Daphnia pulex: one gene and its partner. The protein of the gene in region 1 interacts with the protein of each later gene in a biochemical or structural test. Links are inferred from orthologs where the notes say so. Each region holds a gene or a part of one and is shown on either strand. Other genes may lie near its edges. The genes, in order: wee1-like protein kinase and putative peptidyl-prolyl cis-trans isomerase dodo.

Region 1 (4,352 bases):
TGTTGTTTTTATTTGCTTGTAGATTTAGCGAACTAATCACGAAACAGTCACGCACGGATCACGCTGTTTGTCAATGGACGCCCCTATCAACAGATGACGTTGGTCTTTTTTGTGAAAGTGCAATTGTGCAAGACCCTTGCAATTATAAAACATGTTCAATTTCGGTTACACTTGGAATAATAAATTTAAATATTCGCCCTATTTACTGCTTTGGTCAAGGTTGATATAGTCTCGAGGTTGATTTTATATCATCAAGTTATTGCGAGATAAAGTTTTCTCGTCCGTTGACAATAAGTGAACAATGTCTCAGGGACGTGGACGTTGCACCCCCAATACACAAGTGCATTACGATTCAAAGTGCCCAAGTGGTGTAATAAAGGGGGCAGGGCCACAAGGTGAATTGACAACAGGATTTCAGCCATCATGTCTTCAATGGCGAATAATAATCGATATTTAAAGGGAAAAATAATACATAAGAAATTATTGAATTTTCATAACGTCTAAAAGATGCTGGCCATGAAAAAAGATTGTTGTGAAGTCAAATCAAATGGAAATAGCCGTTGGCCCGAAGAGTTTTTGGCTGAAAACACGACACAGAAAAGAAATCTAGATATGAAAGGGTGAATCACCTATACCCCTTTTGCTGGCCTTTGGGATTCATATTTTTAAAGGTTATTGGCGAAAGGAGCACGGTACATAATGCCCAGTTGGCCAGGCAGCAGCACACACAAAACCCCCAACTGAACTCACCTCACTCAGGTATACGAAACAGTTAGGATTTCCCTGGGAGATGGATTACACGGTGTGAAGGGACGTTACCATAGTTCACTAGCCCATTTGTATATTCAGTGCGACTCAAAATCAGAGTGGATTATTGGGAGACATTTGAAAAAAATATATCGATGAATACTGGGCACACACACGTCCCCCCTATCGCAATTAGGCCCCTTGGAGTGTGTGAATGATGGTCCAGTTGAATAGACCCGATTAACTAATCCATCAAGCATAACAAGGCTGTTCAACTAGGTCAACGGTTTCCTCGATGATGCCCTTTTCCTTCAAGATATAACCCCTTGCTTCTTTGTTATAGCACGCGTTTTTTCCTCCTCCTGTTGTGTGCCAAGTTTGTTTACTTCTTTCGTACACCTTTGCAGGTAGAAATCGTAAAAATTCCCGTCACCCGTGGACCCGCTATCGCAGTTTGCGAACAGCAAGGTGCTTTATCCTTGTTGTGATACATGGAGCGCGAGCGAGCCACCCTTTAAACGCTTAAAGTTATTCAACCGTCAGTTTATGCTTCACACACTTTTATTTTGTCAATACGTTTATAGCTCAGGATTAGTTTAGTTAATAAAAAAAAACAGCACCACATATCAATAAAATTAAAATTACATTTTAAAATTTTATTTAAAATTTTGATTTTAACGACATTTTATAAGACATCATTAAATAAATGTTTTTTAAAAACATTATTATTAAGAATATTAATTTCAAAAATTTTTATGTTAATAAAAACAAATAAAATTAGAAATCGAAATATTTATTTTTCAAATGTGAAAGTAGCCAAGTTATTGCAGCTGTTTCCTGTTTTGTTGTGACGAAATTTGAATTTTTGTGCGGCCGGCGGCCATGTTGTGACGCATTGGGTTTTGGCGGGTAATTTTCTATACCGCATTGCCGCAAGCGCTTCCCATCCCTCGTTGTGGGCGCCGCCATGACAGTTGTACCAAAACACACGTGAAAAGGAGGGGAGCTGGCGTCTGGCAACGCTGCATCCGTCTATTACAAAAAGAATGGAAGCCACTGAAACGGGCAGTCATTTTTGAAAGCTCCACACAACTGTCGTGACCAGTGTTCAGATCAAGTCGAACAGTCTCGCGTCGCATCATTTACGCGTTAGAAACTTTAACTTATTTTTTTTCTCAAAGAGGTGAAAACAAAGTTCACTTTAGTGTGTTTCAATTTCAAGAGTCTGTTCAACGCGTCATCATGGATCGCGATATTGAAATGGAAGAGAACCATTGCCGCATAGCACAGCGGTTGGAATTCCCATTGAGTGACGAAGAAGATTTGCATGAGGCATCCTCGACTACCGACCGGACTTCTAGCAACATTTCATCAGATCGTCTGGACTCATCTGGAAGTGATGAAGGCCTTGGAATGACCATTCGGATAACCAGTCCTAGAAAGCCAAGGTTTCTTCGAACCAGAGCCAGAGAATCCATGTCTCCCCCTTACAGTGGAGTCCGGGCTCTGAGGTTGTTTGATTCCCCGGCAACTCCCAAAACTCTCCTGGAAAACAGTTCAGCTATGATTACTCCAGTTCTAGCTACGCCTGCACCAAGGAACAGGATGAGGACCCTATTCAACATGAGTTCTGCAAAATCAACTGGTAAGAACCATACATCCAACATTGTGTTTATCTTTTCCCCGTTTTCTATGATTTCAAAAAATAACTTTATTGAATGTTTTCTTCTATAGATAAAAAAGACAACTTGGACACTCCACCTGCTGCCAATGTCAACCCATTTACACCAACTGGAATGCTGTTGACTAGCAAGAAGAGAACCAGATCTAAACGAAGTCTCAATGGGTAAGTTCTTTTGCTGCACTTCCCTTATTTCTTCATTTCTCTTTCACTCTGGGTTTCTTCTGTTTATATAATGGCTAACTTTAACGGAAAGCTTCGCTGAAAATACGTGCCGGATGGAAGATGTCCTTTTATAGACACACATTTTGCATCTATTAGCCTTAGCGATATATGGTGATGCGTTCGCAGTTGGGTGACTCATATATCCCAACCGGTTATCAGTAATTCAGTGGTTGTTGCATAACCCGAAGCGTTAGTTTGAATTTTCCTACCATGCAAAGTTTGAAAGTAAGACATTAATCCGGTTTTCCTTGAGATTCGGAGAAACATTTCTAAACCATCCCATTTCCCTCAATCTGTCAAGGACGCATAACATTTCGCAAGGTTGATTTTCTGGTTATGCAGTTACAACGTATTTTTTGGTGAAATTTCCGTAGACTCTAAAGAAAGTGCAGTTTTGACTTGACAGCCCAGGTTAAGATGGGGGGGGGGGACTCTTAAATTGTGTGCAACGTGATATGTTTATTGGGAACAATAGAGGGATTTGTCCCTCGTTTTTTTCCTCCCAAGCCTTTTGAGTTGAAATGGCAGGGGTGGGTGGAGTAAGCCTTCGTTTCAATTATCTTGTTCTACCGGGTTCCAAGACTTCGAAAAATGAAAACATGTTTTTTTTCCCCATAAAATCTAATTTAATCTATTTGCTGTGACAGGTCGTTAGTGAATTCCTTTGACGAAGAGGTCCATGAAGCAACCGATGAATCAGACGAAGAATTGCCCCCGAAAAGGATTGCTCTGCATCAAACTAGTGTCCCCAGATACCACAAGGTACAGTAAAATTCCCAAGGAGATTTGGGTACACAACCCCTTTTTCCGTGTGCCACGTCGAACCACATGGATCTAACCCTTTTTTTTTATTCCTAAAAAACATTAGGAATTCCATGAGATCTGCCTGATTGGAAAAGGAGAATTCGGTTCAGTGCACAAATGCCTTAACAGGCTCGATGGATGCACCTATGCCGTCAAGAAAAGTTTGATGCCAGTAGCTGGATCCCCGAATGAGTAAGCATCAAGGAATGTCCTACCTTTAAGCCAATAATTAACATTTGTTTTCTTCTCTTTTTTTAGACGATCTGCTCTTAACGAAGTATGGGCTCACGCAGTCCTTGGCCAGCACCCTCATGTTGTTCGCTATTATTCGGCCTGGGCTGAAAATGGTCACATGATCATTCAGAACGAATTCTGCAATTCTGGCACCCTCGAAGAATTGATTCGCACTAATCAGCAAAACAATGTCATAGTCAATGAACCGCAATTAAAATCGACATTGTTGCAGGTTGGTTTTATTCTTTTCTATCCATTTCTGGCAGTAGTTAATTTATGTCTTGTTATTTTTCTTTTAGATTGCAGAAGGATTACATTACATTCATTCCAAACAGTTGGCCCATATGGATATCAAGCCGGGTAACATTTTTATCTGCCGTGAGAATATCGACGACTGCTCGGTTCACCACGACAGTGACGATGGATTTGACGAACTTGATGACGATTACGGATCCGTGACGTATAAAATTGGAGATTTGGGTCACGTGACGTCGGTTGTGCAGCCAATCGTGGAAGAAGGCGATTGCCGTTACTTGCCCGTCGAAATCCTACAGGAAAATTACGACAATCTAGCCAAAGCTGATATCTTTTCCCTGGGTCTTACAATCTACGAGGTAATAATCCACTATCGAATCATCTCTTTTCAGTTCATTACTTAACT
Region 2 (2,995 bases), on another chromosome or scaffold:
GTATGTCAAATGGAGAGATTGAATTAAATTCAGTTTTTAAATTTTAAATTCTTTTTCAGGTGTGGCTAACCGCGGTTGCAGTATTCGCGTGCCTCGTGGAGTGGCTGAAGAACGCAAAGGTTACTTGGAAGATCGCCGTCCGGCTTCCAACTCTGATCCATATCAAGTGACCGAAGTGGTTGTCCGCACCACTTGTCTCGAACAATAGACTATCCTGATATTTTTTAGGTCCCATTTTTCACATAAAGAAGAGTAAACCATCCATTCCTTCTATGTCCCGAAGGCGCAAAAATAAAACAACAACAACAAAAAAAACTACCACGTTCTATCGATTATCGCCAAATTGTAATCTGACCCCTCTAATTTTAATATTCTCATTCTGTGGTCGTTCCCTTTTTAATCCTATGTGACGTTATCGATTTGTGTAAATAATCTGATCGATTGGCAATTTTGAAATTCATCAGTAAGCAAACATGAAATATGCAGTATGTGTTACCAAACTTAATGTCAGGTAAATACAAAAATTTTTAGATAATCTAAACTCTGAACCCTTGATGTGTTTTCTTAAATTAGTTGAAGAAATTGTAAAAAACAAATTTATACTTGCAATAATAATGTTGTATAAGGGTATGGTATGCAATAGACGAAAACATCCAAAATTTCTAGTAAAAAGAGAATTAAAAGAAAAATGTAATTCAAGCAGTGCGAAGAATAATATGAACTCCTGAATCAGTCCACACAGGTTCACTCATTCCACCAACTTTTAAGCTAAAAGCAGCATCTTCAAACGGTTTCTGCATTGCTCCTCTACCAAAACTACCAAGATCTCCACCTTTCTTGGCTGAACTGCAGTCTGAGTATTTTGAGGCCAATTCAGCAAACGAAGCTTCACCATTAACAATCTGCTCTTGATAAACAACTAGCAAATCCATAGCCTCTTCTTTAGATATGGTGATGTTGTCTTGCCGCCATGATGATGGTCTACGAGAATCCCTGTGTTTGACAAGAAGATGACTGCATTGAACCTGATTAAGAGATACACTTTTAGTTTACAATTTGGTTTGATGACAGTAATAGAGAATTATTTATAAAAACAAACCTTTTCTGGGCCGTTTGATGAAGCACGCTCTGCTGGTTTAGTTGGAGCATCCCATTGACTCTCTTTGGTGTAGATATTCAAGTAGTAACTTGTTCCTGCAATCAATACAAAGTGAATAAATAAAAGCGAAAATCACAATAGTTTCCAGCTACTAATTGCATTAAAGAAGATGACTATATTACCTGACGATCGGCTTACACGTTTCTCCCAACCAGGTGGCAATTCTTCAGACATTTTGATGGTGGTGTTGACTGAGTATAGAGACTTTGCGAAATGTGCACACGACGAATTATATTAAATATAAAATAGCGACAATAGTATGTATGGTTTTCAAACTACGACAAAGTTGTCGGCTTGATTTGACTTTGACAGCAAAGAACAGTCCAGAGAAGGAGATACTGTAGGTAACTAGGTAGCATATCTCTAGGTGGCAGCACTTGCACTTCTTCATTAACATAAATTTCAAATTTGAACTTGATTTTACAATACAATTTGAATTTACAAAAGACGTTTTAGTTTACAGAAAATTTTCATCTTTAATTCATAAATTTTTCATTTTTTACATTCTGTATTATTGTTGCACGGAAAGTAAACAATACAAGTAAATTACAAAATTAGGACAGTATGTTTTGTTCAATGACAGTTTTGATTCAATTTTATAAAAACTGATTTTTCCTGGTTTAAATACTTGTTTATCAGATAAAATAAAGAATTGGAAGGTAATTAATTGCTCAAACTTGAGCACTCAATGAAAATCATAAAAAGAAAAATGTGCTTATTTACTTATTGCTGAATTCTTTTCGCTTTGCCTACAAACATCAAAGAATGATGTTAATACATGCTTTATTAATTATTTGATAACTTAGATGCAATAAATTACCTCAATAGCTGAAGAGGCAACCTTATCTTTCACCGAACACAAGAAGAACAGTAGAGAAACATATTGCAGTGAATAAAGAGTGAGTTCAGATAAGGAATCATCTTTCATCCAAGGTGCCCCAGCCCTATAAGACGAAATCAGATGAATTTCTTTTAAATCATGTAAAATTATGGCTAAAGATATTTACTTCGCGCAATCGGCAAAGATATTTGGATGCGTTTCGGCAGTGACTACTTTGCAGTCGATCTTTGCTTTAAAGGCGGCAATTTGACTATCCAGACTCGGGATGAGCATTAAGATGTCCGGCTTAGGAAGATACAATTCACCACCATCTTCTACTGTATATAGCCTTCGTTCGTCTTTCAAAACTGATGACATTTAAATCCAATATAGAATTATGAAATTTCAAAAAAATACAAAAACAGCGAAATAGTTCAATGGGGATTTACCTATTACATCGACGCATTTTGACTCATTCGCCTCCAAACTGCAAACAATCGAAATAATGGAGTTTGAAATCAAGTTTAAGTATTTAAAAAAAAATAAGCTTCTTTACCTTCTTTCAGATGCTAAGACTGGAAGGGGTTCATTCACCGAGGCAATCACGTTTTCTTCAGGCTGGATATTCGAAGAAATTCTTTCATTGAATACCTCTTCGTCTATTGATGGATTCTCGAAATCAAGATGTTCGTTATTTGAAATCAGGGTCGGTGTCGTAATCGAAATGCTTGTTGTCTGCATCTGGCTTGTAACTGAATTTACTGCCGATGAGGGAAACGCGCAAGTTGGATTTGGTGAAGGCGCTCTACCGGTGTGTTCAGTTGGATTTGGTGAAGGCGCTCTACCGGTGTGTTCAGCTGGAGGCGACGGCGTGGAATATTCATAAACAGAATTTGCGGAGGCAACAGCAATTTGTTCCTCTTCGCAAGGCGAAACAAATCCACTTTCAATCAAATAATCACTGACGTGGATGTCTTTCTCCTTTGTTGTATCAACCAAAGTCAAAGAGTAGACTG

What was found.
Region 2: the proteins of wee1-like protein kinase (region 1) and putative peptidyl-prolyl cis-trans isomerase dodo form a complex in vitro, tested with the Homo sapiens proteins (2 studies listed by BioGRID, with this or other methods). The link is inferred for Daphnia pulex from reciprocal best matches to the Homo sapiens genes WEE1 and PIN1.

What each region holds. Positions count from the first base shown.
Region 1 is NC_060025.1:7,991,563-7,995,914, forward strand, and holds the start of wee1-like protein kinase, read left to right. Parts: upstream 1-1,305; 5' UTR 1,306-1,895; exon of another isoform or gene 1,896-1,969; 5' UTR 1,970-1,989; coding exon 1,990-2,392; intron 2,393-2,481; coding exon 2,482-2,593; intron 2,594-3,300; coding exon 3,301-3,415; intron 3,416-3,521; coding exon 3,522-3,649; intron 3,650-3,715; coding exon 3,716-3,923; intron 3,924-3,990; coding exon 3,991-4,305; intron 4,306-4,352. UniProt on the Homo sapiens protein: Acts as a negative regulator of entry into mitosis (G2 to M transition) by protecting the nucleus from cytoplasmically activated cyclin B1-complexed CDK1 before the onset of mitosis by mediating phosphorylation of CDK1 on 'Tyr-15'.
Region 2 is NC_060017.1:4,463,094-4,466,088, forward strand, and holds putative peptidyl-prolyl cis-trans isomerase dodo, read right to left. Parts: upstream 1,499-2,995; 5' UTR 1,334-1,498; coding exon 1,282-1,333; intron 1,195-1,281; coding exon 1,100-1,194; intron 1,026-1,099; coding exon 696-1,025; 3' UTR 601-695; downstream 1-600. Other genes in the region: glutamine synthetase-like, read left to right, coding at 60-208; tudor domain-containing protein 7A-like, read right to left, coding at 1,879-1,908, 1,980-2,103, 2,167-2,347, 2,429-2,466, 2,536-2,995. UniProt on the Homo sapiens protein: Peptidyl-prolyl cis/trans isomerase (PPIase) that binds to and isomerizes specific phosphorylated Ser/Thr-Pro (pSer/Thr-Pro) motifs.